Linked DNA regions of Rattus norvegicus. The main gene of each other region encodes a partner of the protein of the gene in region 5 in a complex. Links are inferred from orthologs where the notes say so. Each region holds a gene or a part of one and is shown on either strand. Other genes may lie near its edges. The genes, in order: Polr3g, Polr3f, Polr3e, Polr3k, Polr3d, Polr3c and Crcp.

Region 1 (3,554 bases), on a different chromosome or scaffold from region 5:
TATACATGCATACTAATTATATACATTGCAAAAGAACACAGAGCTTCATACAACATGGTCAGAGAATATAACAAATACTCCACAGCTGGACGCTCCGGGTAGAGAGAGGAAAGTAAACGATCTCACGCTAGGTTTGCTTACCCTAGAAGTCTCTCCAGTCCTCAAGAGGTCAAGATAACCATGTCGCCCTGCCCACACACCTTGACTGACTGCAGCTTTTCAAACATACCATGTTTCTAAAAACCAGGAATTCCAAGCCGCGATGGCCCTGCAGGGATGTCCTTCTAGGTCTTTGTGCCTAAGCCCTTTGGTACCTCAATTTTATGTTGGTAAGTATGAATTGTACTACTCTCAGTGAGTTCCTGAAGTCCTTGCTTGCAGAAGATGTTGATCTGGTTACTTTGATCTCCTTGTTTTAATTTTGTGTTATCATTTTATACCAAGCAACTGATGCCAGTGATGGAAATATATTTCCAATTCTATAAATTTTTTTTTCTGTTTTGTTTTTAAGACAAAGTCTCACCATGTTATGGCCCCAGCTCGTCAAACTCCTCCCAGTCATCCTTGAGTGCTAGGACTGTGGCCGAGGTTTTATTTGCCGACCGACATCACATGCCCCATGCCACAGCTACTCTTTAAGGTTAGGTAACAGACTCTTATCATCCTCAGACAGACTTTTACCTCCTCTTGTTCCTCTTCATCATACTCCTCCTGTTCTGCATCTTCTTCGCCATCCTCCTCCTCATCTTTCTCTTTCTCTTTGCTCCCTTCTTTCTCGTCGTTTTCTTCATCCGACCTTTCACCCTCGCCTCTCCTTTCCAGTTCCTGATAAAATGAGATTCGTTAATCCACATCTTTGATTTGTGCACCCAGCCTCCAAAGAAGAGCTAGATTAACATGCTGGCCCACTGGCTGACCTCCCACCTCTCAGGGAAGGGGCAGCCACCAGCCCTTAAAGCAACAGCCACTCTTCAGTTCTGTTTCTTTATCACTGGTCTCCCTCAGCTACACTGGGGTTAGAGTCCTAATCCACCGTGCCTTCTTTTCAAGGTTCCTATCCAACCTGCTCCTAAAATGCTTGACATAATTTACTTTATGCTACTCCTGTCCCCTCTGTCTTTCATTACGTCCCACTGCCAAGAACCTCTGTTTCACGATACAAGGTTGTGAAAAGGAGATGAAGAGACATCACTGAACACGCTGGCAGGTATTAGCAACTCAAAAGGGGAAACAGAGTTGGAAAGGCTCTGGCCTCTGGGTGTCTCTCGCTGTCTACCTGGAAAACCATGTGCTGGACACCACACTACAGTTTCGATTTTACAAATGCCTCGTTACTACCAATCATTTTTTCAGTTGATAGAAATGACCTCATTTTATGACCGTCTCTGTTCGCTCAGTTTGGTGACCCTCACTTTGCACAAGGGACAGAATTTCACAGGTTTTCTGGGAGAGGGGCACAGCAATAATTTTGCATATTCATAATGAAAGCTTCCTATGAGCTAGTTTCTGATTATCACTAACGGTAATTAGAAGAGCAGTGAGCTAAGGTATAGGTAGGCTCTATTACTCCTTAAGGCTTTGCTGATTATCCACAAACATAAGTCATATTTTACATCCAACTTGGCTGTTCTCCCTAAATGTTCATTTTAAAGATTATTTTAATTCTAATTTAAACTGAAGATCACATTAACCAAATCCAGTGTAAATGAACGAATTTAGAATGTTTATGCGTGTGTAGAATGCACGTGTGTATATTAATGTGTTCATGCATTTGAACACGCATGTGGAGGCTGGAAAGTGACACTGGATGCCCTCCTCACCCACGCTCCATTTCATTTATCGAGGCAGGTTCTGGCTAGTTTTGCCAGCCCATTGCTTGCCTTAGGGACTCCTCCTTCTCTCCGTCTCCCACGTGCTGGGATTATAGGCTGCTGCCGTGTCCTTCTGGCTTCTGTGTGCATGCTGGGGCCTGGGACATCAGACACTATGCTAACCCAGTCAACGTCTTATCTACAGAGCCAGCTCTCCAGCTCGCAAGACTCAATTTTAAATTAAATTCAAGCAATATTGCTTGCAATTGACCTCACTCAGACAGAACAAATTAGAACCAAGAAGAGTACACATGTAGGCTATCTCACTCTAATAACAACTGTTGCGCTTCCTCGGTGGTTACTCTGACAATACCATGTGTACACTTCCCAGCTGGCCATCTTCTTGGAAAATCCTAAGTAACCCAAATTTTCATAAACCTTTTGAAACATCTAAGACAGACAGACAGACACACACACACATACACACATACAAAATAAGCTACATTAATATTAAGATATGTCTTTTCTGTTTTAACTTGATCATAGGTAAAAATGGCTACAATTAAATACGATTATAACGGAACTGAAATATTTATTTTCTGTTGTGAAAGTAGGCTCTATTATCTTTTTAAAAAGTCACTGATTATCTCAAAATTACAAACAATTGTTTTATTTTAAAAAAAAAGCCACAACTGTACTATTGAAAGTACAGCATTTGTTCACTGTGCTGTAAGGACCAAAGACTGTATTTCTACTGTTGCCATATCACACGGCCGAAGCAAATAGCCTCATCTTTACCACAACAGCCAACCATGCATGTCAGTAGAGTGAGACAGAAGCTGTTCAAGACTTTTCTTATGATCCCAGGGACACACGCTGTGTAGTTACTTTGTTCCTTCCACAAGCTAACGATTTTGTCTTTAGTCTTTCGTACTCAGGCTGACTGTGCAGGTATAAGGAGAGAAGGACTCACATCAGGAGAGGAGATAAAATGCAGACCGAGAGCAGTTCTAGCTTAGACACTGGACACGCAAAGAGCCCCCTCCCTCAGGTAACACGGAAGGAAGGTGCATCTGTCACTGCTCTGAGACCTGACCTAATGCTGCTACCTCTACCCAGAGAGGCAGCCATCATGATACACAAAGCTGCTTTAGTTGGAGACAACCAGAAACAACCACTGCTATAAAATTATAAACACATTAAGATTTCTGTGTTTGGAATGTTCTGGAAAAGGTGGCAAAGGTAAGCACCAAGGAGGCGCAGTTTGTCCCAAGGAAAACCACACCCAAGTGAAGGCCAATCCATAGGGTACTGTATGTGCCCCCGGGGGGTTGTCCCACCTTTCCGAGCAGGCATGACCAGACACATTCAATCTGTCACTCTACCTAGTTACCACTTATCCTTCACTGACTTCCAAATTTTAGATTTTGGCCACGCTATCATCCGGCTCAAGCACTGTCCAGAAAGGAAATCAGTAAAATTCGGATCTTCCCGTCAAGCAGCTGTGCCAAAGATGCCAGTGAGCACGTGTGTTTTTTATTGGATAGTTTATGTATTTATATTTCAAATGTTATCCCCTTTCCCAGTTTCCCCTCCCCCACTTCCCCTCCCTTTCGTCTATGAGGATGCTTCCCCCTCCCACCCACGCCCTCCTGCCTCCCTCCCTGACATTCCCCTAACTGGAGTATCGAGGCTTCACAGGACCAAGGGCCTCTCCTCCCATTGATGCCCAACAAGGCCATC
Region 2 (4,135 bases), on a different chromosome or scaffold from region 5:
ACACAGAAAATGGAAGCCCATAAATCACCAACTTGTCTTCTGTGGGAGAAAACAGAAGTCACTGGCCCATTGTTTGCTTTTTTATTAATAAAATTTCATGAGGAAAAGCCACACCCACCTGTTCATGTATCACTGTTCACAGCTCATGACTGCTTCTTATTAAAATGACAAGTCATACAGTTGTGACAGAAACCAGTTGGGCCACAAAAATTATTTTATTTACTATTTCATAGAGAAGTTTGCCAAATTCTGAGCCACAAAGGTGAAGACAAAGGCTTAACAAAAGATTTGCCTATCCCTATCATCTGTGTCTAGTGCCTTGAGGTAAAACATCAGGTTGAAAGCTTTAGAAAAGAAAAGTCGGGCTGGAGAGATGGCTCAGCGGTTAAGAGCACCCGACTGCTCTTCCAGAGGTTATGAGTTCAATTCCCAGCAACCACATGGTGGCTCACAACCATCTGTAAAGAGATCCGATGCCTTCTTCTGGTGTATCTGAAGACAGCTACAGTGTGTACTTATATATAATAAATAAATAAATCTTTAAAAAAAAAAAAAAAAAAAAAGAAAAGTCATTCAGAAGAGGCCTAGTGTAAGACTCTTAACTAATAAAACCAAACCAAAACGTCCTCAGGAAAAAGGAATCAAATGGCTTGTGAAAGTAGAGATATAGGAGATCCAAAGCATCAGCCAGTGTCTGGTGGGACATTTTTCAAAAGTTGGAAGAGAGGCATTTGGGCTCCAAGTTCTTGAGTTTCAATGAAAATTCTACTGCACTGTCTCTGAAGCTAAGCCTGTACTTTTTCCCAAAGAAGTCCTCAGTGGGACTTCTTCCTGCTCTTAAAAAGCTCAGAGTTACACTGTGATACCCAATCAATAGGCTATTGATAACTCACCAAAAAAAAAAAAAAAAAAAAAAAAACCCAAAAAAACCAAACAAAAACCCACAGTGGAAATATTTTATAGGGAATGGCTAAAAGCTAGCAGCAGGAAGTAACAGGCCACACCCACATGCCCTTTTGTGTCAATGAAGATAATACCATAGTTATAACAGAATTGCATGCAGCTTCTTCATCTTGTCAAATGGCAGGCACGTAATTATCTTTCCTTCCAATTCAAACATGCTAATCCTTTCCCTGGTTTGGAATCAAATCAAAAATTCTGGCCTAACAATTAGTATATTGACTCACTAAAAAAAGAGGCTTATTATGCCATCATTAGTTCATACGATTATGGTGGGGGAGAATCCTTGTAAGTCTCCTGCAAGGTGGAGACTCGAGAAGGCCAGGGGCATACACCAATGTCGCAGACCTGATGCATTAGCCTCGGTGATGAAAAGTCCATGGTGTAGATGGAATCTTAAAGCCTAAGGACAAAGAGTGGTGAAGACTGGTCCTGGGACTCAAAGTAGGTTGGGGTAAGTTCTTCTGTCCTCCATTTGTTCTACGTAGGCTGATACTTAATTGGATGGGGCCCACTCACCTTCTACAGTCAGCACAGCAATTCAAATACCACATTCTAGAACATCCCAGAAACAGCATATAGGCAGATCTAGGAGTATCACGGCCCAGTCAAGTTGACACATGAAGTTAAACATCACAACTATGTGACAGGAGGCAATGAAATACATAATATACAACAAATTACATAAATTAGTTGAATTCACCTTACCATGGACAATAGTCTATTGATGGCCACTGCCCGTTGCTGGGCTTCTATGTGAGGCATTTCATTCTGAATTACTTGATCTGTGATTCCATGAGGGAACTGGTGGCATAATTCTATAATTCTAGGAACAAAGGTATTAATGATTTATGTTTGCTTGTTTTAAAAGGCAAAAAAGGAAGATGCATGATAGTTAAGCTAAAATCTCAGTTTTATCAATGGGAATAAGTACGGCAAATTGAATCCAAGGTCTGTGGGCAGAATGCAAATGTAGAATATGCGCACGTGTTCCTGTGCGTGTGCGTGTCTAGAGAGGGTTATAGTGATTCACCATAACTGGAGTCTGTTTGAGAAATTATCTTCTCCAAACAAACTGGAAGGATTAATTTGTTTGGAGGTGTAATAAGCTTACTACCCACAATAATAATGTTGAGAAAGTCGTTGTCTTTTTAACTACATTATAACCTAAAAACACATGTGCGCTGGGGGTTAAGGCACTCACTGAACCTACTTGGCTCAATGGTTCTTTGTAATCACAAACTGAACCCTAAATTGGCCCGAACGTTCTCTCACAGAACTTCCCTTGGCAACCGAGCAATACTGGATTCGAACACATGCCCAAGAACTAGGGGGAAAATGCAGGTCTTTTTTTCTGGCACTGGCTGCTGTCACGTTCCAAGTGCTCTAATAGAACCCCGGAGGAGCCAGTTACATAAAGTTTCAAGCTGTCACGCTGCTCTGGAGCTTCTGAAGAGTTCTACTCTCCCTAATCGGGAGGGGGACTCCCAGACAGCCGTCAACCCTGCTCCCGCGTGCTCAACTAGCCTCTTCCGTCCTCTCCCGGGGACCGAGAGAGAAGGGGTACAGCTATCCAGCTGACTGCTCGCCTAGCGTCGGGAACCTAGTTTCACTGCATTACCTGTTTTCTATTTCCACCGGATCCGCGTCCGGCGGCTGCACCTTCACCTTCACCTCCGCCATGAGGGTGGTTTTCAAGACTAGAGGAAAAGTGGCCCGGAGGAGCGCGCTGGAATTCTCGGGAACCGGTGGAGGCGCACGCCAGGGGTGGGGGCGTGGGAGGGACGAGGGACCTTCTTCCTTCGGTCGCGCCGGGCCTTCTTCATGAGGTCGGCTTGGGGCGCCCATGATGTGCCTGCTCCGCCTTGCTCAGCAGGGTCGCCGCAACTTGTCCTTTCTGTTGTCCCAAATTTCAGTACCTATCGAACGAGATCCTCTGGCTCCAGTGAGCTGAGTGAGGTCCCCTTCTTCAGTCTCTTCCAGCCGCTGAGAAGGCATATTCTTGGACACCTAAAAGAAAGTGTCGCAGAAGGAGCTGGGGGCGGGTACCAGACGGAGGCTGCAGCCAGAGACAAGGGCAGGGCTGGTTGCTAGGAAGTCGATTTCCTTGCCAATCATCTGCTCGGCTCCTGGTGGGCGGGGCGCGGTCCGCAGCGTCTGTGGTAACGCAAGCTGCTGCGGAGGAGCAGTCGTGAGGCGGTGAGAGTCTAGACACCCGGTTGGCGGCAGTGGACGTGCGTCGGGGGTCCTTATCTCTGTCCTTGAGGCTGGAGGAAGGTGAGGAGAAGGGCACCTCTCACTGGGTTGGGAGGAATCTAGGCGTCTCTGACTGCCTCGCAAGGCCAGGACATGACGCGGGTCTGGGTCTTGGTTTGGGCAGCGAGGAGGTTGGTTCAGGTGAAGGATGCTGGGAGATGCTGGTGGCATGACACCGACACCAGGCTGCAGTGTGGACCTAGCGAATCAGCCATCTCTGTCTCGTGATGGTCCATTGACCACCCCAGATTTCCAAGAGCAGCTAATAGCTAACCGTGAGCACCTCAGTCTCTAACCATCGGTGTTTATTAGAATCTAGTTTTCAGCTATCTTTATTTTAATTGACTCTCAATCGAAGGGAAATGTGAAGGTTGGTAAATCCCTCTACAACCAGCCTCATTTATGAAGGGTCAGATAGCTGTAGTTTTTATGCTTGGCCCTCAATCTGGAACTATCATAAATTCGTCTTTTAAATCTAATTATCCCACTTTCCAGAACAAGATATGTCAAAACGCAAAGATGTTCGCAGCAACATTATCATAATTCCGTCTACCAAACTTAAAAAACAAAACTATAACCTCACCATTGAACAACAAATTGTTAAATGAAAAAATTTAAGTAAGCCAGGCATGGTAGCACATGCCTTTAACCCCAGCGCTTGAGAGGCAAAGGCAGGTGGATCTCTGTGAATTGGAGGCCAGCCTGGTCTACAGATCAAGCTCCATGACAGCCAGGGCATTATATTATTTGTCTTGGAAAAAATGAGGATGCAAAATGTTGATTATAAAAGTAAGATGAATGTGTACATTATAATTGAATAATTGTGTAGCCATAATCATTGAAACAGCAGTGCAAAATGCAAATACTGGATTAAGAGGACTCCTCCCACTTCAGTGAAAAGACCCATAACGTCTCTGTA
Region 3 (4,292 bases), on a different chromosome or scaffold from region 5:
TCCCCTGTATCTGTTCTTCCTACCATTAAGCTGTAAGCAACAAACTAAGTCAGTCTACTTTTGCCTTGCTGTATACCTGGTCCCTAGAACTCAGCAGGTACAGCACAGCTCTACCCGGTACCTGAAAAATGTGAACCTAAAGGCTGCCTGGGCTCCAGAGGGATTCTGAGCAAAGGATGATCTGGGACAGGGAAAGAGACAGGCTGGTGGGAAATGGGCCATCACAGCAGATCAAGATGTGGCGGGCAGGTCTCAACCATCTGAGCATAGTCCTATGTGGTTGCCACCGTGCATCTGCACTGGCTACCAAGTGTCACAGATATGTGTCAAGCACGTACCTTACTCTGCAGGCAGCTGCACTTAGTGGCCAATTGAGACAGGATTTCAGGGGGAATTAAGGAAACACAGCACATACAAAAAGAGACTATGGGTGGTTACGAGAGTCTTAAGTCTCAATTATTCTTTCAGGGCTGAAGTTCTGCCCAGCCCTGCCATCGGGCAGAATCAGGTCCCTCTTAGCATCTCCTCCCTCTGAACACTGCACCTGCTTGGGTTACCTGCAGAGGCCATCAGCTCCCTTTAGCCTCCCAGTATCCAATTCAGTGGCTTTTAAAGGTGGAGCCTAAGACCAACAATAATATTTTCCCACCAGTGATGCAGAAATGCCTCAGCTGAAGCAGTACCTTGTGTAGCATGGCTGTTACATCCACACAGTGTGGCTTTCCATCCTTGCCCTTGCAAAATAACAGTGCTGGAGCAAGACCCCTACCCAATTTTACAACACTCACTAATAAATCTTGACCTGAAATCTTTATAGCCAACAATTTGAGCTTCCAGAGCAAGCTGTGGTGATCTATGCTTGTAATACCAGCACTTGGGAGGCGGAGGGGGGGGGAAGATAACAAGTCTGAGGCCATCCTGGGTGAGTATATATCAAAGCCTCATGGGGGGGGGGCCACGGGGACGACAGACGGGGGACCTACAGACACAAAACAAACAAAAAGGCTTCCCTAGCTCCACTCCTCTATCTCCAATTCTCAAGAGAATGCCAGTCTTTGTGACTGGCAGTAGCCTCGCTACTATGGTATCGCTACCATGGTATCGCTACCTTGCTCCCAACCCTTCAACTGTCCCATAAAACAAATCCTTCCAGGAGCCCCTAAGCTCTTACATGATCCTGTCCCTGTCTTCACATAAGCATCTCCCCATGGCCTGGTGATCAATTACCGACTTCTAACAGGCCAAGTCCCAAGCATCCTTGAGGACCTCTGCACAACCCCAGGTCATTTTCAGGATGCAGTGGTAACAACTGCCACTCCCTCCAGGATTAGAGACGTTCCCTGACAGACCAACTGGAACAGCCGCTTCCAGCCCCTTCCATTACAAGCATAGTTCCTTACTCCTGACTGGTCCTAACCTGGAACTTCCTGATCTGCTTGCTGGTCAGGTGTTGGCTGTCCTCTGCGCTAGACTTTAAACTCCACGAAGGCTTCTCTACACTTTATATTCCTGGACCATTAAGTGGAGATAATAATTATACTTTGTTGTTATGGGACCATTACTTTTAAAATTAAAAAAAAAATCACAGTTCTTTCTCGCAAATGTTAATGATAACAGGTACCAATATAGTACCAAATATTTAATCTTCTCATTAGCTGTGCAAATCAAAATTTATAGTGCCCAGCTTAGAATTGATTTACCCAAGGTCACAGCCCCAAGAAAACGGGTAATCAAGAAATCCAAATCTAGCTGATGTCAAAGAGCCTTGATTTTATTCTTAACCAATATGCTGCACACATCTTTGGTAAAAGGCCGTATGGTATAGTGGTTAAGAGGTTGGACTCCCATGCGAAACTTTACAGGTTCAAATCCCACCTCTACAACATAGCAGCTGATTAATGTCATGGATTGTGTAACCCCGGATCTTTCCTATTTTCATCCTAAACCAGCAATAAACCACACACCGGCTTCAAAGGGATAAGTAGAACCTATAAGAAGGGCTGTTGCTACGTGGCAACATGTTTTCTTCCAATGTAAGACCGAGCAAGATAGCCACAAATGAAAGAAGCAGCACAGGAATCATATTATCCCCATTTTACAGATAAATGTAAGATCTTATCGTTTCGCTCCCAAACCCAGTAACTCTAAGAACAGGATTCCAGGATAACCTGCAATGTGCACCACTATCCCCAGTTACTGGAGGGTCCCCGGGTCCGCGCAGTCGCCACTCTGTTTAAACACAGATCAATGAATGAGGCGTCCCGGGCCCGCTAGGGCTGAGTTAACCCAGTTCAGCTAAGGCAACGACCCCCGCCCATGCAGGCAGCCCCGCGATCCAATGGCTTTCTCCTTGTCGCCGGTGCTCAGGCGCCCTTCCCACTCCTCCAAAAGCCGCCACGCCACCGGGCACTAGTGCCCTCGCAGGTGCGGTTCGTGAGCCAGGCCCGGGCGAGGCAGCGCGGCCGAGGCCTGAGTCAGCGCGGGCCGTACCGCCGTCACCTCCCCACCGTCCAGCCGTGCGGAGCGACCCAGGCCCAGGGCGGCCTGGAAAGTTGGGTGGCCGCCCTGCGCCCTGCCCCGGGAGGCCGCGGCCCCTCGGCACGCAGCGGCGCGGGCCTCTCTGGCCTAGTCAGCAGCGCGGCCAGGAGCCCAGAGCGAGTGCGACGGCTGGGGCCAGAATCCCGAGGCTGCTGAGTCGGGTCTCACCTCTCCGCCGGGGCCGCACGCGGGCGGCGGAACGGCCCAGGGACCCGTGGGCTGCAGAGACGGCGGCGGCCGGGTCTTCTATCAGGGAGCGGCCATGTTGCTGCTGGAGAAACTCCGGCGGACACGTGGGGGGAGCGGGGCCGGCCCTCGCGCTTCCTCTTACCCACAATGCCCCGCCCCGGCGAGCGCGGGACCGCCCCTTCGCGAGCCACTCGTGGTGCAGAGAGCACACATTGACGGCAGGGGTCGCCGCTGTGGCTGCAGAAGAAACTCAGAGCGCAGGAGGCAGAGACAAAACAAAAAAACTACCCTGGCAGCGGTGGGATTCGAACCCACGCCCCCGAAGAGACTGGAGCCTTAATCCAGCGCCTTAGACCGCTCGGCCACGCTACCCAGCTGTTAAAGCTGTTTCCTAAGAAGCTACTTACTGGATTGACACGTATATTTTCCTTAAATTCTTGAAGTTGTGTTTGTTTTATCTCCTGCTGATAGAAATTGTCATAAACAATATTATTATAATGCCACTTATTAAAATAAAAGTATCTAGATGCAAGCTTGTTCCAAATAAGTTTTAAAGAAAAAAAAGTTTAATTGCGTTCTGAGGCAGATGGTTAAGGTGTCAAGTTAAGCCACTCTGTCACTCACATAGCCCTAATTAGACGTCTGGTTCTGGAAGTAACTTTCACCGAACTCTGAAAGCTGAACTGTGACCCCAGGTCTGCACATTTCTATCTGAAAAATTACGTGTTTAAAATTGTCATATTGTGAATGGGTTGGGATATAAATATTAACGCAGAAACGTATAGAGATATACAGCTGGTTGGTTTTTCACCATATTTGGGGGGATTTTTGTTGTTATTGTTGTTGTTTTTGCTTTTGTTTTTAACCAGACTTCATTTTTAAGTATCTATTCATTTCAATGTACCCATACAGACTTTTACGTTTATCTTATTTATTTGTTTGGAAGTGGGGGAGGGGCGGGGAGCAGGCAGGACATGCTGTGGAGGTCAGAGGACAAGTTGCCTGAGTATGTTCTTTCTTTCTACCATGTGGGGGCAGTTAGGTTGTCAGGTTTGAGGCAAGTATGTTTACCTACTGAGCTATTTCACCAGCCCTAGATATTTTAAAAGACTGAAAAAGACACAGTGGAAAAAAAATAGTCACCCGTATTTCCACCACCTAGAATTAAACTTATTGCTGCATACATTTGAACACACACACACACATTTGTTGAGTTAAGGCTCACAATGCCCCAGGCTGGCTTTGAACTATGTGTGTAGCTAAAGGTGAGTTTGAACTTCTGATCCTCCTGCCTGCACTTCCCAAGTACTGGGAACTCCACGTTGGCCTGGAACTCAGTGAGATCCCACTATCTCTGCCTCCCAAATGCTGGCATTAAAGGTGTGTGTCACCGAAATCTTCAGGTTATTAATTCCTACTGAGTCAATTTTGCTATTCTGGAGTTTGGGACAAAGCAAGGCCGTTCTCTTCGTTTTTCACATTTATTGCTATGAAAATCTGAACTCTCCCTCACATCCACTGTGCCTTTTTTATTGTCTGGCGTGAGTCTCTCTCTTCAGTTTGCA
Region 4 (4,354 bases), on a different chromosome or scaffold from region 5:
CTGTGGCTGCCTGGGGCACATCGCCTCTGACTTTCAACTTTATTTTCTGGATCATCCTGTGAGGGATGTTGTTGAAGTCCTGTTCTGGGCATGGGTTGTAGTTTGCATTCTTCACACTTCTGTCAAGAATCCTTGCAAAGATAATGATGGGTCTCCCACCTGTACTGAGCTGCTTCTCAGTTCCTAGTAAAATAATGATCAGAGCCCCTAAATTATCCCCCCAAGAATCCCTCAAAGAAACATGCAGAGTTAACCAACAGAGACTTGAGCTGGGGCTCCATGCTTTAGCCTCTTCACCTGCAAATATTTGGGAACAAGGAGACACAAGTGACTAGGAAAAGTGTGCATGTGTTGCGCATGGGCCTCCAGAATCTACATGGTAGACCTCAGGCTATTACTGGAATACCTACCATCCAGCTGTTTTAGATCAGCTCTTCAGGACTAAGGTTGGAAGCTGGAGGTTCATTGTTGCAGGCTTTTTCTTTATCATACCATGAACTCTGGGATTGTGTTTACTGGAAAAACCTGTTTCTAGTTGTGGTGTGACTCGGCCCTTGGCACACAACCTTTAATCCCGCTGGCTGGAATACAGACACGCCCTTAGAATGCTCCTTTAATGCCCAACAATGAAGGTCAGGTTAGATTGTAGAAGGTATCACCCATATTTGAAAATGATGTCTAGGGCTGGAGATATGGCTCAGTGGTTCACTGACTGTTCTTCCAGAAGTCCTGAGTTCAAATCCCAGTAACCACATCTCATCTCGTCTGTAATGAGATCTGATGCCCTCTTCTGGTGTGTCTGAGGATAGCTACAGTGTACTTTAAATAAATAAATCATTTTTTTTAAAAGTGATGTTTGAGTGTCCGACAAAGTGGGGAATTAGAGAGTTTTTTTTTTGTTTTTTTTGTTTTGTTTTGTTTTGTTTTTTTGTACAGAATAGGGTATGCCCAACTCTCATGAGAGAGAAGGAGGCAGTTTTCCTGGGACAGTTTTTACAGAGAACAAACTAGACACAGATGAAGACAGAATGTGCCAGAAGATTAGAACAGATTGTCAAAGTTAGTATGAGGCCAAGCAGAGCAATTGAGGAAAGGCTGAGAGAGAGAAGCCAAATTCAATCAGTTTGAGCCGGAACAGCTGAGTTGAACCAGCCAACCAGCGCTCAGAACTAGAAGGGGTGCGCTTATTCCGCAGTGAGTCTCAGAAGCTGAAAACCTTCTAGGCCTGAATTAGATTTTACAGAGGGTAGAAGTTTCCAGGCCTAGATACTGCAGCTCAGCAGCACCTCATCACCCAGTCCGGCTCACCACCATCAGGCTCCCCAGGTGCTGCCATCTGCCGGCACCATTAGTTTGCGTTTCAGCTAGGGAGATGTGCGCACGCGCAGAAGCTACACGGACAGCGAGTGCAGACAGCATGCAATTGGCTGGATGGGGAAGGGTCATCGGCGGTGACCAATGGCATGCGCGAGGCTGCCCGCCGCAGTGCCTACCGGGAACGTGTTGCCGATCGCCGGTTGCCCGTAACGGAGGAAGGGAGACGGCTTCAGATTGGGCGCCTGAACCTCGGCAGCGCCACACAGAGCCGCCGTGTGGGAGCTGAGCAATGCTGCTGTTCTGCCCGGGCTGCGGGAACGGCCTCATTGTGGAGGAGGGGCAGCGCTGTCACCGCTTCGCCTGCAACACGTGCCCGTACGTCCATAACATCACCCGCAAGGTGAGGTCCACAGGCCGGAGCTCTCCCTGCGGTCCGCGGGGCCCAGGGCAGGCGTCGGCGCGCTCGGACCTCCCCGCTGCCCGCTCAGAAATTGTGCGAATTTTAGTTCATCCCCCTACGCTGGACCTCGCAGATTCCAGTCCGCTCCTCACCTCTGATTTCAAATCCTCGGGTTCTTTAGTTGCTCGTTTGCTCCCATCCCCTATCTTGATTCCTGAGAATCTTCTTGCACGCAGTGCTGTCAGGTTCTTCCCTCCGCCCGAGTCGGTCTTCCCTGAATAACTACGCAGAGTGACGCACTTCTCGTTCTCGTCTCCCTCTTCCCCCGTCTCTGGTGCATGTGTGCCTCCCTGTTTCTCTCTCCCTCTCCTCTTTTAAAATAATGGCTGCCTTATTTAAATGTCAGCCCGTGCGGCTGTTTGTGCACCTATAATTCTAGCACTCGGCAGGAGAATAGGTTCAAGGCTCATCTGGGCTGCATAGCACACACAGAGCACAGAAAAGCCAAACCCAGTTCTTTCTGTTTATCCTCATTCCCTTAAGGTTTTCACAGAATTCATTGTCTTCTAATGTTTTATATCGTTGTTGCTACTTTGTGTGTGTAGTGCTTGTGTTGGAACCCAGCAAGCTGTGTTTCCAGCCCTCGGTGTTTTGTGTACCTTAATTCCCGTTCCTCTTTACCTCCGTGCCTTAGTTCAGTGACTGCAGTTGTGCAGCACTGGGCCTTGGTGACTCCTCGTTCCTAATGTTTGCACATTAGAGCTGTGTGGTAGGGGTTTAGAGTCAGGATTTGTGGTAAGATGAATTGTGACAGAATTTCTAATTTCCAGGGATGCCTGATAAACATAGGAAAGCATCCAAATGTGACCTGGGGTGCTGGTATACCCAGCTAAGTGACTTCATTTGTCTGTCTTTCCTGTTGGATTATTAGGTGTCCTAGGGGTATGAGAGAAGAGCAAGGTTTTACTAGGCTGTTTTTTCCTTTCAGTTCTGTCTGGTGTTTCCTTCGGTCTCTAGAGGTCTGAACCTCTAGAACCTCTGTTCTGTTTGGAGGAACATCCGAGTCACAAAACCCCTACATTTTAGTGACTCACACTGCTCTTTGAAGAAGACAAATTTTGTAGAGGAAATGCTGGAGGGAGTTGTGGCTTAGTGACCGACTTGTAAAACTGTACAATTACTTCCAATCTGGTGGCTTGTGTCTGTTAGGTAACAAACCGAAAGTATCCAAAGCTAAAAGAAGTGGATGATGTGCTTGGTGGAGCAGCTGCCTGGGAGAATGTGGACTCTACTGCAGGTGAGGATTTTCCCGTAACAGAGCCAGTGACTCAACCTTGTTTGTTATTACTTATTATTATATTTTATATTTATATTGTTTCGCTAGTTTGTGTGTGTGGTGCTTGTGTTGGAACCCAGAAAGCTGTATTTCCAGCCCTCGGTGTTTAATACTAATAATAAACTTAGTATTATAATGCAGTCCTGTCTGTTATTAGGGCCAGCAAGATACCCTGGTAAAAGCACTTGTTGCCAGATCTGTTAGCCTGAGTTTGATTCTTGGAGCCCAGATAGTAGGAGAGAACTGACTCATGGGAAGATTTTGTACCACCCTCCATGCACACATGGGCGTGCACAAGTGTAAAAGAACTTAAGAAGATGTAAATAACAATGTAATATCAAATAGCTAGTGCATGAAATATTTTGGTGATGTGTTTTAATTACAGTGTAGGCACTCTAAAGTCTTTTACATTTTTGTTGTTGTTAATTGATTTTGTTTTTTTGAGACCTGGTTTCACTGTGTAGCTCTGAGTGTCTTGACCTCGGAGATCCACCTGTCTGCCTCCCACATGCTGGTACTAAAGTATCTGCCACTGACACCTGGCTGTAATAACATTTTTTTAAAAGTAGATTCTTTCAAGGATTCTTTAAAGCAAAGTTACTATAGTGATACCTGAACCGTTGTTTCATTTAGAGTCTCAAGTCCGATGTGGACAAGTATAATTAAAAAATAAATCTGGCAAATATTCTCTTTTTGAAGCAAATTTAGAGTTCATTACAAAAAATTTCAGCATTGATTTATATATAGTTGTTGGGAAGGGGGGATCCATGCTCTAGTGGGTGTGGACTTCTCATGAAAATTGTGTTGTATGTATTTTCAAATACCAACACTGAGAAAATGATCAGCCCTAGTCTTTTATTTTCATTTCGTTTTATTTTTTATTACATGGATTTAAAAAAATTATAACTGTGGACGAAGGATGGTTGCTCAAGCTTATGATTCCAGTTACGATTCTGGTGCTCTCTGAGTGGAGGCAGAAGGCTCAGTGCTTATCTGGGCTTTTTGAGACCCTGGCTCAGCCATTCTGTCAACCGATAAATAGCTGTGGGGTAGGATTTCAGTGGTTGAGAGCATGGGACTGGGTTTCCTTCCCAACTTCCACCTGGCAGCTCAGACCTTCTGTACTTGTACTTTCAGGTGATCTAATACCCTCTACTTGCATCCAGGGACACTGCATGAACGTGGTGCACAGACTACCCAAAGGCAAAACATGCACATAAAATAATTATAAAAAATTAGGGGGGGGGGTTGATATTTGCAACTGGAGGTATTAAAAAGTAAATGTTTACATCTTGATTTGT
Region 5 (4,032 bases):
ATATACCTGTTCAAATGAATGCATTAAGGAAGATAAATATATATATATATATACATATATATATATATATACACACACACACACACATATATATACATATATACTCCTATTGGTCATTTGTTTCCAACAAAGGATACAGTATTGTGTGGCACAATGTTACAGTACATCACTAATATTTTAATGCTAGCAGTCTATGGAATTCTAGCAGAAATAGGTTCCTTCCCTAGAACTACATAATGTTTTTAATTCGTATTGGGGATCTCTGTGGTGTAACATTAAATGACTTTTTCCCCACAGATTAAGTTATATATATTTGTATATATTAAATGTATACATCCATTACAATAAAATTTTTTTAAGCTGGGATTGGTGGTGCACATCTGTAATCTGTGCCCTGAGGGGTGTCTGTGAAGAGACAGGACTGCTGCCAAGTTCGAGGCCAGCCTGGTCTACTTAAGTTCCAGACTTGATAGGGTTACAAGAGTAGTGTTGTCTTAAAAACACACACTACACACACACACTCCCAACCAAAAAAAAACAAAAAACAAAAACTCCCACTTTAAGAGCAAACTTCAGTTCCAGGCTCTTTCCAGATTTGACTAAGCAATCATGAACCCAGATAGGCAAAGAGCTATTGGCTGCTCTGTCCAAACTGCGTTAGGACCTCAGGGATCCGCAAAGGAAGGCGCTCACGAGCAAAGGGACAAGCCCGAAGGTACAGTGACCACTCCAAGGTCAATGCAGGGAAGCTGCAGCCAGCCTCGGCCTGAGGGCAAGGCTCCCTATGTCCGGAGATGCATCCCGAGAGCCGACCTCACTGTTCACAGAGGCTGCGCAGTACACCCCGTACAGCAGGTAGGCGACCTAGGAGGCCCCCCCGACCCTGTGGACCGCACTAGCACTGTCATCCAGGAGCAGAGACACACCCCCACGAGTCACACCCCCGCACAGTTCAGAATCCACTCCCATATCCTTTTTCGCCCTCTCAACCCAGCTTTTCCCGACTCCGGGAAGAACCGGGAAGAGAAGGCGGAGGACAGCGAGGCACCGTCTGATAAATACTATGGTCCGATCACGCCCCCTTGATGTCACTTCCGCCCTAGGGTAAGATGGCAGCCCCCGGTTCTTGCCACGCAGACTTCCGCCTTGCCGTGAGACCGGCGGCCGGTGGTTGGTCTCGTTAGAGGTGAGGTCGTGAAACTCGGCGTAGAGCCTCAACGCAGGTACGTCATGCAGTCCCGGGGAGAGGGCATGTGACGAGTCCAAAGCTAGAGGTGGGGCGCTCCGGGAAACCTCGCCACGTGGGACTGGGAGGAGCTGTGGTGCAGCGGGAACGACGCACGGACGGGGGGGGGGTACAGAGGGGGATTACGTGGGTGGGGTTCCGCCCAGGGTCTTCGCATCCAGCCCTTGGAGTCACTTTGTTGCCTACTTTCCTCTAGGAACCATGTCGGAAGGAAACGCCGCGGGCGAGCCCAGCAATCCTGGAGGGCCCCGACCCCTTCTCTCTGGGGGCCGGGGACTTGTGGGCCGGCGGCCCGCTCCCCCGCTTACGCCAGGCCGCCTTCCCTCCATCCGCTCTCGGGACCTCACCCTTGGCGGTGTCAAGAAGGTACCGGCGAGTGTATTTGTACAGAAACCCAAATGCTTTGAGTTCCAGGCCGAAGGGAGGCAATTCGTGATGTTCATTCATATACGGCCATTTGTCCCTGATGGGATGTCAGCCTCTAGCGAGAGACCTTCAAGCCTAGGTGCTGGTACAAGACATTGACATGGTTTCATAGGCAATTAAAAGGCAGAGAACCTAGTTAATTCAAGACATTCGGAAGTGCTTATTATGTTATGGGCACCTTACAAACTCCCATGAAAGTCAGACAAAATTGCTTTACTTGGTAGAGTGTTCATAACTCTGTGGATGTCAGTAAGGAAGCAAATAATCTAGTGGTGATGAATGAATCTTAGGCATGCAGGTAACTAACTGCTCTTTGTCCTCTCCCATTATGTGCATAACAGTAGATATAAGAGTACTCTGAAAAGAAAGCAGAACAAACAGGATAAAGCTACGGTAGTCTCCCTGTGTCATCCATTTGTCAGTGCTGGCAGATCTGTCTCTCCAAGCCTTCCCAGAATTGTTGGTCTGTTGAGCACTGCGAAAATACAGTACTGTATTTTACTTTTCAGAAAACCTTCACCCCAAATATCATCAGTCGGAAGATCAAAGAAGAGTAAGTACATAGGATTAATGAACACCACTCACCCTCTTTTGCTCTGAGTTTGAGGAAGTAATTAGGTGTGCAGCCTGGGAATTTTAACTTTTTGCCATTGGCTTATTCACCAGTGGATCTCATGCTTTAATCCCAGGTTATGTAGAGATATGTTTGCTTTTGAGACAGTGCTTCTCTACATGGCCTTTCATATCCTGGAACTCACTGTGTAGATTGCTGGCCTAGAACTCCCAGGGATCTGCTTGCCTCTCAGATCTATGTCCTGAGCCCTGGGATTAGGGTGTATACCATGCCTGGCTCTGAGGCACTTTGCATTAGAGGGCCTGCCTGTCTGTCAATCCATCCATCTGTTTGTCTGACTGCAATGAATAGCTGAGATATCAACTTACAGAGAGGGGCATTTCATTTTGGACGTCCAAGCTTTGGAGGTTTAAGTCTGTGATGAGGTGGTTCTATGCTTTTGGGTCTATGGTATGGCAGTGAGCTGGTGTCAGAGAATACCCAAGGGGAGAAAGAAGTCAAGGAGAGGAAAGGGCTGAGTTTCTGTCCTCCTTCAGGAGCTGGACAACCACCCAGTAGGTTCCACCTCAGCTTCCTCCTAATTCTGCTGAGGTGGAGCAAAGCTCTTCATACTCCTCTTAAGTTCCTCTGCTTTCCAGTCTTTCTACTTCCAGGCAAAAACAGGACAGAAAGCCCACATTTTGGACAAGGAGGTAAAGTGAGAGGAAATTAAAGGCCGTGCTTTATCAGATGTAACAGGTGTAACAACAGGTGTAACAACAGGTGTAACAGCAGGTGTAACAGCAGGTGTAACAAAGGGTTGGCTTGTGATTCTCATGGTCTCTTTTCTGGCTTGCAAACGCTGCTCAGTTGGTTGAAATGAGGTGGGTGAGGAGGGTTTGTTTCCTGAGGCAGACCCTTATATCTGTCCTCATCCCCAGGCCAAAGGAAGAAGTAACTATGAAGAAGGAAAAGCGTGAACGGGACAGAGACCGCCAGCGTGAGGGTCATGGACGGGGACGTGGCCGCCCAGAAGTGATCCAGTCCCATTCCATCTTTGAGCAGGGTCCAGCAGAAATGATGAAAAAAAAAGGTACCAGGAAGGGATCTGGATTGCGGGTCAGACCACCTGAGAAAGCAGAACATGGGATTCTCCTTTCCTAGCTTGGTTTCCCTTGCTGTTGCTGTCCCCCTGATTTAACCCTAGTGAACGGCATGATTTCCTGCAGGGAACTGGGATAAGACTGTGGATATGTCAGACATGGGGCCTTCTCATATCATCAACATCAAAAAAGAGAAGAGAGAAACAGATGAAGAAACCAAGCAGATCTTGCGCATGCTGGAGAAGGATGATGTAGGTTCCAGCAGCCTGGGGGACCGGTTTCTTTGTATCTGCTAACAAGGGCTTTTAGGAAGCCAGGCCAGGGACATCTTTGGGCTTTTGGTCACAGGAGCACTAAGGTGGGGCTGGGGATGCAGCTCCGTGGAAAGACTGCTTGCCTCCATGTGTGAGACATATACACACAAAGGAGAGGGAGTGACAGGTCCTGAAATGGGCTGTGACATAGGCACACATGCTGACATTTAATGTGACCCCCCCACTCTTTGGCAGTTCATCGATGACCCAGGGCTAAAGAATGACACACGGAACATGCCAGTACAACTGCCACTGGCTCATTCAGGGTGGCTTTTCAAGGAGGAGAGTGAAGAGCCAGACGTTAAGCCTTTTTCTGCTGGCCCCAAGGAAGAAGACATGGAGGTGGATGTGCCAGCTGTAAAAGGTAACCCGTGCCACCGACTTCCCCTC
Region 6 (3,266 bases), on a different chromosome or scaffold from region 5:
CAAGGCCCTGGGTTCGGTCCCCAGCTCCGAAAAAAAAAAAAAGAACCAAAAAAAAAAAAAAAAAAAAAAAAAAAAAACCAAAACCCAAACTGAAAATGGTTCACGGGAGATTGCACTCACTTGTTCTCTTTTGTTTCAAATTGCCGCCTTTCTATCAAGTTGGCTATGCTCTGAGGAAAGAGAAGACAGACTAGAAATGCATAGCGTTCTGAAGTGACTTGGGTTGAGTGGGCAGAGGAGCTGGGAGGGCGAGCTGTGAGGGGACGGGGAGGAGCGCATGTGTCACCTTGTAGCACCTGTGCAACAGCATCCTGGCGGCTGACAGCACATTCACGGTGTACAGATAGAAGGTCCTGGACGGGGCGTGGTCTGGCGTTTTAGGAATTTCCTGTTGGTCCACAGAAATAAAAAAAGAAATTGTACTGTTATTTGCAATGGGCAAAATAAACACCCATCCTCCTGGTACTGTCAGCCCTGATACTTCTTTCCTTCCTAGCCAATCAGAGGCCGTCTTTATGACATAAGCAGCCACACGTAGCAGGCTGCTCTGTTTTCTATCTGTGAATCAGCCTCCTGGGTAAAGGAAAGGAAAGGCAGCTATATTTACTGAGTCAATTCTACACAGGCTAGGTGGATTGTATTTGATTTTCAAAATAGACTTTACTAATAACTGAGACAGTGTGATACTCAGTTTCAATCCTCCAGTCTTACTCTTCTAAGTACAGAATCATAGGTATGCATTACCATGGTTGCTCAGTCTGCCTTTTTTTTGTATTGTCCATGATTGGTCCGAACCACAGTTTTTATATCAGCAGCCACCATCACTTTACAGCTATGAAGATGATGGTGGCTGCCTTGCTTAGTGAGTTGACCCCACACTCCATTCAACCTACTTCCTCAAAGGGTCTTCAATATCGATAGATCTGCAGGATTCAGGCTATGCTGAACAAGTTACTCTATTCGAGATTTAAGGCTGAGACAGGTCAGGAATAATTAATTGGCTGAGGGCAAGAAAGGACAAGGAAGTTAGAATTGTGAGCTGATTTCTTGGTGTGCTCTGTCTGTCTCTCTGAGGCCAGTTAAAGTCTAGATGATCCTTCAAGGATTTGCTGTGTCTGTGTTACTCTGCCTTCTATCTCAGAGGTGGCTGTAGTGTCTGTGAGGGCCCAGACTGACTTCTCAGCAGGCACTGAGGCCGTGGTCACCTGCAGTGATATGAAGTTCTCCGAGAGCATCTTATACAGCATGTCCTTTGCCTCCTTTGCAGGGATCATTGCAAAGTCCTCCACCTGCTTCTGCTCCAGGTGCTTCTTCTGCAACACCAGACGGAATATCCGGGCACAGCGAGACCCGAATCTGGGTAGAGACAGGGAAGCACTTGGCATTCGTTAGCTCCTATCTCAGAGTGTTACTAATCCACATGTGAGGTCTGGGCCAGAAGGAAAACAGCATCCGTTCTTCCTCAGCTCCCGAGGCTGGTGATGGCACTGTTCTCTTGTTACCAGAGGCCCCCTCCTTAGAGCACCAGTGCTTGTATTACAGAGCTCTAGGGTGGCTAGTTAGCTTGCCTAACTAGGAACTAACTTTATGGGAAATATGAGACCAAGTGTGGTGGGGAATGCCATAAAAACTGAATTACTTGTTCAGTGGAGTGGGGATAGGAAGTGTCTGAGCCCAACCCCAATCAATGAGCCCCTTACCTCTCTTGGATGACAGACTCCAGAGTTGCAGTGGATAGGGATGCTAATGCCTTATGGAGGTCTTAGGTAGAGGATTAAGGACATTTAGTAATGTTTTAGCCTGGTCACTATTACCTTAGTTTCATGACTGAATTCCTAAATTTCTAAACTAAAAATTAACTGCTATTTTGCTTTTCATATTTCATGTGTGATATGTAAGTATATTAACACATTTCATGTGTGATATCTATCAACATTTGTAAGGGTTCACTTAAGTAAGATTTTTAAAAACAATCTTTTCTTTTCTGAGACAGGATCTTGTTATGTAACCTAGACTGACTTTTGAACATTCAACTTTCCTGCCTCAGCTCCTAAACTGCTCAAATTATAAGCATTTACCATCACACTGGCACTGGCTCTCCCCAGCTCCTTCCCTTTCTTATCTCCCCTCCCCGCCCACATCCTCTTCCTCTCTGTCAATGCTGGTGATCTGGCCCAGCACCTGGATCAGTAAGTGTGGTGCTACTGAGTGACAGTGGAAGCCTTTTTTATTTTCATTAATGTAGCTCACTGAAAATTCACAGAAAACTTAATAGAAATTTCACTTTTTAAACTTGTTTAGTATATTAAGCATTAACAAAGTCCTTCCTGGTGGTGGCACATGTTTCTAACCCAGAACTTGGGAGGTAAAGGCAGGAGGACCGGGGCTGTACTGTCAACTTCTAGGCTACACAGTGAGTTCAAGGCCAGGATGGGCTTCAGAGACTGTCTCAACAAAAACAACAAAAAACCAAAAAAATCTTTCCCAGGCCCTGCTCCTGCTTCCTAACTCAGGGGTCCTGAGAGAATAGGCGACTGGGAAGGATACTGATGACATACATTCCTCCGCCACTGTCGCCAGCCTTTCCAATAAATTCTAGCTGTTAAAAAGAAAGAGGGAATGGTGTTAGTTACATAATTCTCTTCCCAAGGAGCAAGTCTGGTCAAGAGTCTGTGGCAGGCGGCTTTCCTGCAGGCAACAGGGCTTTGTCTGGGATGGCAGGAAGACACCAAGGCTATAGGAGACAGACCGTGATCAGACTAAGGGGCAAGACACTTACTGGGTCATCTGCCAGCAGCGTGAGGTACTGATCCAGAACCTGTTTAGAGATATTATATCCGACGGGCAGGGATCTGAAGATCTGTGGGACAGAAGGAGAGGCTGGAAGTGGGGCCAGAGACACAGAATTGCTAAGTGTGACTGAAACAAGATGTCCTAAGTTTAGGGTTCAAAAACATAAAAATATCTAAGGAATATTCACAGTATCATTGTTTATAAGAGTAAAACAAAGGCCAAGAGGGCTGCACACCTTTAAGTCTAGAACTTGGAAGGGAGGCAGGTAGAACTGTATTTGGGGCCTGGTCTACAGAGTGAGCTCTAAACAGTCAGTGCTATACAGATAGACCCCGACAGAAGCAGAGAAGAATGAAAAATAACCCAAATGTCCAGTGACAAGTAATTAGTTAAACTACAACCAAGCATAGTGGTATATGCTTGTAATTAACACCAGCTACCCCAGAGGCTGGGGAAGGAAGACTGTGGGTTAC
Region 7 (4,145 bases), on a different chromosome or scaffold from region 5:
CATCCCCAGCACTGCATAAACAGGGCAAGGTATCATATACCAATAGGAACAGCACTGGGAGAGTAGAGGCAGGAGGATGAGAAAAGCTTAAGGTCCTCCTGAGTACATATCAAGTTCAAGGCTAACCCTGGATAACATGAGACCCTACCGTAGGAAAAAAGGAAAAAGTAGGTAACAGACTGTCTAATGACTGGAAAGGAAAACAAGATACATTTTAATGTAAGCAACCTGACAAAAAAAGGTCAGAAATGTTTTTGAGGAACCGCCATCATAAAAATGAGTAGTGACTGAGAATACATGCAAAGGAAGTGCAAAGGAAGTGTCCCAAGATGAAGCACTAAGGCGTTCAACATTTAGACAGCAAAGGAGGAGGAGGAAGGAGAAAAGGACACCAAGCAGCAAGATGTAGGAGAGCCGGGGCGTGTTAGAGAGCTGACACTTTCCACGGTTTCTGACACCAGCTACCCAGAGATGGAGAAAGCTTAACCAGACTGAGCCTGAGCTACCCAGTCAGAGACCCCCATCTCAGAGACCGAATGGCTAATCTAATGTGGCTTGAGGTGAAGACAGGGCATCAGAATTCCATCATCCTCAGCTACATAGCCAAGTTCAAAGCCAGCCTGGGCTACTTATGACTCTGTCTCCAAAAAAAAAAAGTCTGACCAACTATAGTATCTATATAACAATTGAGCAGAAGACAAAGAAACATGAATAACAACACAATTTAGGTATGTCAACTGTGTACATATAAAGTCCGCAGGTGGAGTATATTCAAAAACTTCATTTGCCCATCAAGAAATATTTTCTTTATGGAAAAATAAACTGTTAGGGTGGCTTTGTTGTTGGTAGAGTGACTGTCTAGCATGCTCAGGTCCCTTCCATCCCAAACACCACGATATGATAATGGGGTGTGTGTGGCTTAGTGGTAAAGTACCTGTCTAGCATCCCTAAGTTCTATCCCTAGCACCACCTAATAATAATAGTAGTAATAATAATAATAGTGATAATAATGTTGTGGAAGGTGTGTGTTAAGCATGTGCAAGACCGTGGGTACTGGAGCTGGAGAGATGGCTTAGTGGTTAAGAGCACTGACTATGGCTTGGGGATTTAGCTCAGTGGTAGAGCGCTTGCCTAGCAAGCGCAAGGCCCTGGGTTCGGTTCTCAGCTGGGGGGGGGGGGGGGACAGGACACAAAAAACAAAAAACCACTGACTGTTCTTCCAGAGGTCATGAGTTCAGTTCCCAGCTACCACATGGGGGCTCACAACCATCTGTAATGAGATCTGATGCCCTCTTCTGGTGTGTCTGAAGACAGCTACAGTGTATTTGTATATAATAAATAAATATATCTTTTTTTTTCTTTTCTTGTCTAGCAAGCGCTCTACCACTGAGCTAAATCCCCAACCCCATAAATAAATAAATCTTTAAAGGAAAAAAAAAAAGACCGTGGGTACCGTTCCCAACACCACCAAATGAGGAGGAAGAGAAAGAAGAAGAGGCTATCCCAACAACAGCTGGAGAAATATCTCAGGAATTTGCCTAGTTGCCAGGTAGGAGTATTACATGCCTTTAGTCCATGCCTCCGAGGACAGAGGCAGGTGGATATCTGAGTTCAAGGCCAGCCTGGTCTAAAGAGCTTGTTCCAGGACAGCCAGTGCTCTACAGTGAAACTTTGTCTGGGGGGAGGGGGAGAAAACCTTGCCTGCTTTCCTGGTTAATCTTAACTGTCAACTTGAAACAGCCTAGAATCCTCTAAAGAAGCCTCAATGATAAACTGTCTTTTACCAAGTTGTTCTATGGGCGTGTCCACGAGGGACTGTCCCGATTATTAAATGATGCAGGAGGGTACCGCCTGGCCAACTGATGGTGGCACAGGCCTTTAATCCCAGCACTTGGGAGGGAGAGGCAGGCCTATCTCTGGGAGTTGAAGGATAGCCTGATCGACAGAGCTAGTTCCAGGAAAGCCACGACTACGCAAGCCCCAACACCCCCCCCCAAATAAATAGAAATAAAAAATAAAAGGGATGAGGGGTTATACAGACCGCGGCAGGTGCCACCATCCATGGACTGCTTCATAAAGAAGTTAGAAAACACAGAGAGTAAACCAGAGAGAGTTCTTGAACTGGTCTGAAGCTTCAGTTTCCTGTCTGAGTTCTTGCCCTGACTTCCCTCCATAATGAACTGTGTCCTGGAAGTTTAAGATGTAATAAACCCTTTCTACCCCTAGATTACTTTTGGTCATGGTGTTTGTCACAGTAACTGAAAGAAAACTAGCACAGCCAGTACTTTCACGACCCTGGGTACCAATTTCCAAAAGAACACGGCGATAACGGATGGCGATGCAGGTCAGTGGCAAAGGCTTTGCCTAGCAAAGTCCTGGGTACCATTTCCACCATTACAAAACAATGATGGCGGTGCTGATGGCTGGGGATCTGACTCAGTGGTAGAGTGTTTCCCCGAGCACATGCAGAGCCCACATCACAAGATGATTGTGACTGGCACGCATCTCAGGGTCACACTACTTCCAGAGCACGTGCAAGGTCTTGGGTTTCATTCCCAGAACCAGAAGAAAGAGAAAAAATAAAACCCCTCTCTATCCTTCCAACATTCCCCTCCCCAAAAGATACCGGAGGAGAGCGGGTTCCAACACCAGCAGGGTCCCTCCCCTGCCGCCCCACCTCCATGCACTTCCGGTCCGTGCACCCCGCCCACCCGCCCTGCTCGCGGGTCCGGAGGTCTAGCCGCCAGCCGCCTCACAGTCCCCAGCTGATTCTGCTTTCCCCTGGACGTGTCGCTTACACTTCCATGTTGCCTCTGCCTCGTCGTACACAACCGCTGGAAGAGAAGAACCTCACGTTACGCCAGCTCTGCTCTGCTCACCGTTTCTGTGTGTGTGCCGCAAGGCACTCTGGGACCGCCGTGGTGCATGCCGGGATCGCTGCAGGGCTCGCCCGGATCCTCCTTAATTCTAGGTGTTCCTACCTTGGTCTAATTTCAGCTTGTCGGGTGTTTTCATAGTGTAGGTTTTGTTAGGGTTTGCCTTGGCCACGTTAAAAATCCCTAAACCAGGCATGCAGCCCCACACCTGTAATCCTAGCACTAGAGAGGCCGAGACAGGAGAATTGTCATGAGTTTCTGGCCAGCCTGACCTACCTAATTACTTTCAAGCCATCCGAAGCTGTTTGAGACCTTGTGTTTAAAAAAACAAAAAACAGAAGCCAGGTATGGTCGCACAATCCTCTAATTCCAGCAAGGGGGAAAGAGGGAGGCAGAGAAACCCAGTCTCAAAAGACAGAGACAGAGCTGGAGAGATAGTTTAAGCACTTAGGAGGCTGAGGCAGGGGGAATGCCTTGAGTTTGAAGACAGTCTGGGCAACATGGTGAGTTCTAGTCAATTTAGACTACGTAGAGATCCTTTTCCCCATACAACCGTTAAAATTTGGGATGGGGAAGACAGATTTTCATTACTTAGCCTTTCAAACTCAGAGATCTGCCTGCCTCTGCCTCCCAGTGCTGAGATTAAAGGTGTGAGCCCCCACTGCTCAGCCATGTTAAAATGGTTTGCGGGTGATTGTGTTTGAGTTTTGTTTTGTTTTGTTTTTTGGTAAGTGGGGGGTGGTGTCTGGTATGATGACACATACCTGTAATCCCTCCACTTTGGAGATGGAGGCGAGAAAGTCAGTTTTTCATAATCCTCTTCAGCTACATGGGGAGTTTGAGGCCACCTGAGGCTACATGAGAACCCTGTCTCATAAAAACCAGTGTGTGTGTGTGTGTGTGTGTGTGTGTGTGTGTGTGTGTGTCCCACAATGGTGTTCATGGTGTTAGTCGGTCAACCATCTTACAATGATTGCCTCCCCCCTCAGGCACTGGTGATTCAGACATGAATAATACACACTCTCCATGCTAGCTGAGAACCCAGTAAGGGGACCAGTGCAGGGCATAAATCACTATGACACACTCTGTTTAGACTCTAGCATAGACAGGAGAATGACTAACATGGACAAAGAGGCGTCCCAAAGCCAGGAGTGTTTGAGGTGTGTGGAAAGAGGGTCGTTCAAAGCCAAGGCTTCAGAGATAGACTCATAGAAGACAGGCTACTGCCTTGGAGAGCCCCACCACAAAATGATTCAGAGAGGAAGGAAT

The links.
Region 1: Polr3d (region 5) and Polr3g share a complex: the UniProt entries of both Homo sapiens proteins name them as parts of the RNA polymerase III complex. The link is inferred for Rattus norvegicus from reciprocal best matches to the Homo sapiens genes POLR3D and POLR3G.
Region 2: Polr3d (region 5) and Polr3f share a complex: the UniProt entries of both Homo sapiens proteins name them as parts of the RNA polymerase III complex. The link is inferred for Rattus norvegicus from reciprocal best matches to the Homo sapiens genes POLR3D and POLR3F.
Region 3: Polr3d (region 5) and Polr3e share a complex: the UniProt entries of both Homo sapiens proteins name them as parts of the RNA polymerase III complex. The link is inferred for Rattus norvegicus from reciprocal best matches to the Homo sapiens genes POLR3D and POLR3E.
Region 4: Polr3d (region 5) and Polr3k share a complex: the UniProt entries of both Homo sapiens proteins name them as parts of the RNA polymerase III complex. The link is inferred for Rattus norvegicus from reciprocal best matches to the Homo sapiens genes POLR3D and POLR3K.
Region 6: Polr3d (region 5) and Polr3c share a complex: the UniProt entries of both Homo sapiens proteins name them as parts of the RNA polymerase III complex. The link is inferred for Rattus norvegicus from reciprocal best matches to the Homo sapiens genes POLR3D and POLR3C.
Region 7: Polr3d (region 5) and Crcp share a complex: the UniProt entries of both Homo sapiens proteins name them as parts of the RNA polymerase III complex. The link is inferred for Rattus norvegicus from reciprocal best matches to the Homo sapiens genes POLR3D and CRCP.

The regions. Positions count from the first base shown.
Region 1 is NC_086020.1:13,687,266-13,690,819, forward strand, and holds part of Polr3g (DNA-directed RNA polymerase III subunit RPC7), read right to left. Parts: intron 826-3,554; coding exon 682-825; intron 1-681. UniProt on the Homo sapiens protein: DNA-dependent RNA polymerase catalyzes the transcription of DNA into RNA using the four ribonucleoside triphosphates as substrates.
Region 2 is NC_086021.1:152,360,517-152,364,651, reverse strand, and holds the start of Polr3f (DNA-directed RNA polymerase III subunit RPC6), read right to left. Parts: upstream 2,855-4,135; 5' UTR 2,809-2,854; coding exon 2,582-2,808; intron 1,787-2,581; coding exon 1,669-1,786; intron 1-1,668. UniProt on the Homo sapiens protein: DNA-dependent RNA polymerase catalyzes the transcription of DNA into RNA using the four ribonucleoside triphosphates as substrates.
Region 3 is NC_086019.1:184,895,956-184,900,247, reverse strand, and holds the start of Polr3e (DNA-directed RNA polymerase III subunit RPC5), read right to left. Parts: upstream 2,834-4,292; 5' UTR 2,707-2,833; intron 1-2,706. UniProt on the Homo sapiens protein: DNA-dependent RNA polymerase catalyzes the transcription of DNA into RNA using the four ribonucleoside triphosphates as substrates.
Region 4 is NC_086021.1:189,358,807-189,363,160, forward strand, and holds the start of Polr3k (DNA-directed RNA polymerase III subunit RPC10), read left to right. Parts: upstream 1-1,542; 5' UTR 1,543-1,606; coding exon 1,607-1,717; exon of another isoform or gene 1,718-1,719; intron 1,720-2,926; coding exon 2,927-3,014; intron 3,015-4,354. UniProt on the Homo sapiens protein: Core component of RNA polymerase III (Pol III) which synthesizes small non-coding RNAs using the four ribonucleoside triphosphates as substrates. Can mediate Pol I proofreading of the nascent RNA transcript.
Region 5 is NC_086033.1:51,923,102-51,927,133, reverse strand, and holds the start of Polr3d (DNA-directed RNA polymerase III subunit RPC4), read left to right. Parts: upstream 1-1,181; 5' UTR 1,182-1,223; exon of another isoform or gene 1,224-1,274; intron 1,275-1,442; 5' UTR 1,443-1,447; coding exon 1,448-1,612; intron 1,613-2,181; coding exon 2,182-2,225; intron 2,226-3,166; coding exon 3,167-3,318; intron 3,319-3,454; coding exon 3,455-3,579; intron 3,580-3,837; coding exon 3,838-4,006; intron 4,007-4,032. UniProt on the Homo sapiens protein: DNA-dependent RNA polymerase catalyzes the transcription of DNA into RNA using the four ribonucleoside triphosphates as substrates.
Region 6 is NC_086020.1:186,937,700-186,940,965, forward strand, and holds part of Polr3c (DNA-directed RNA polymerase III subunit RPC3), read right to left. Parts: intron 2,861-3,266; coding exon 2,780-2,860; intron 2,600-2,779; coding exon 2,548-2,599; intron 1,762-2,547; coding exon 1,701-1,761; intron 1,357-1,700; coding exon 1,206-1,356; intron 389-1,205; coding exon 287-388; intron 171-286; coding exon 121-170; intron 1-120. UniProt on the Homo sapiens protein: DNA-dependent RNA polymerase catalyzes the transcription of DNA into RNA using the four ribonucleoside triphosphates as substrates.
Region 7 is NC_086030.1:32,292,948-32,297,092, forward strand, and holds the start of Crcp (DNA-directed RNA polymerase III subunit RPC9), read right to left. Parts: upstream 2,821-4,145; 5' UTR 2,807-2,820; coding exon 2,799-2,806; intron 1-2,798. UniProt on the Homo sapiens protein: DNA-dependent RNA polymerase catalyzes the transcription of DNA into RNA using the four ribonucleoside triphosphates as substrates.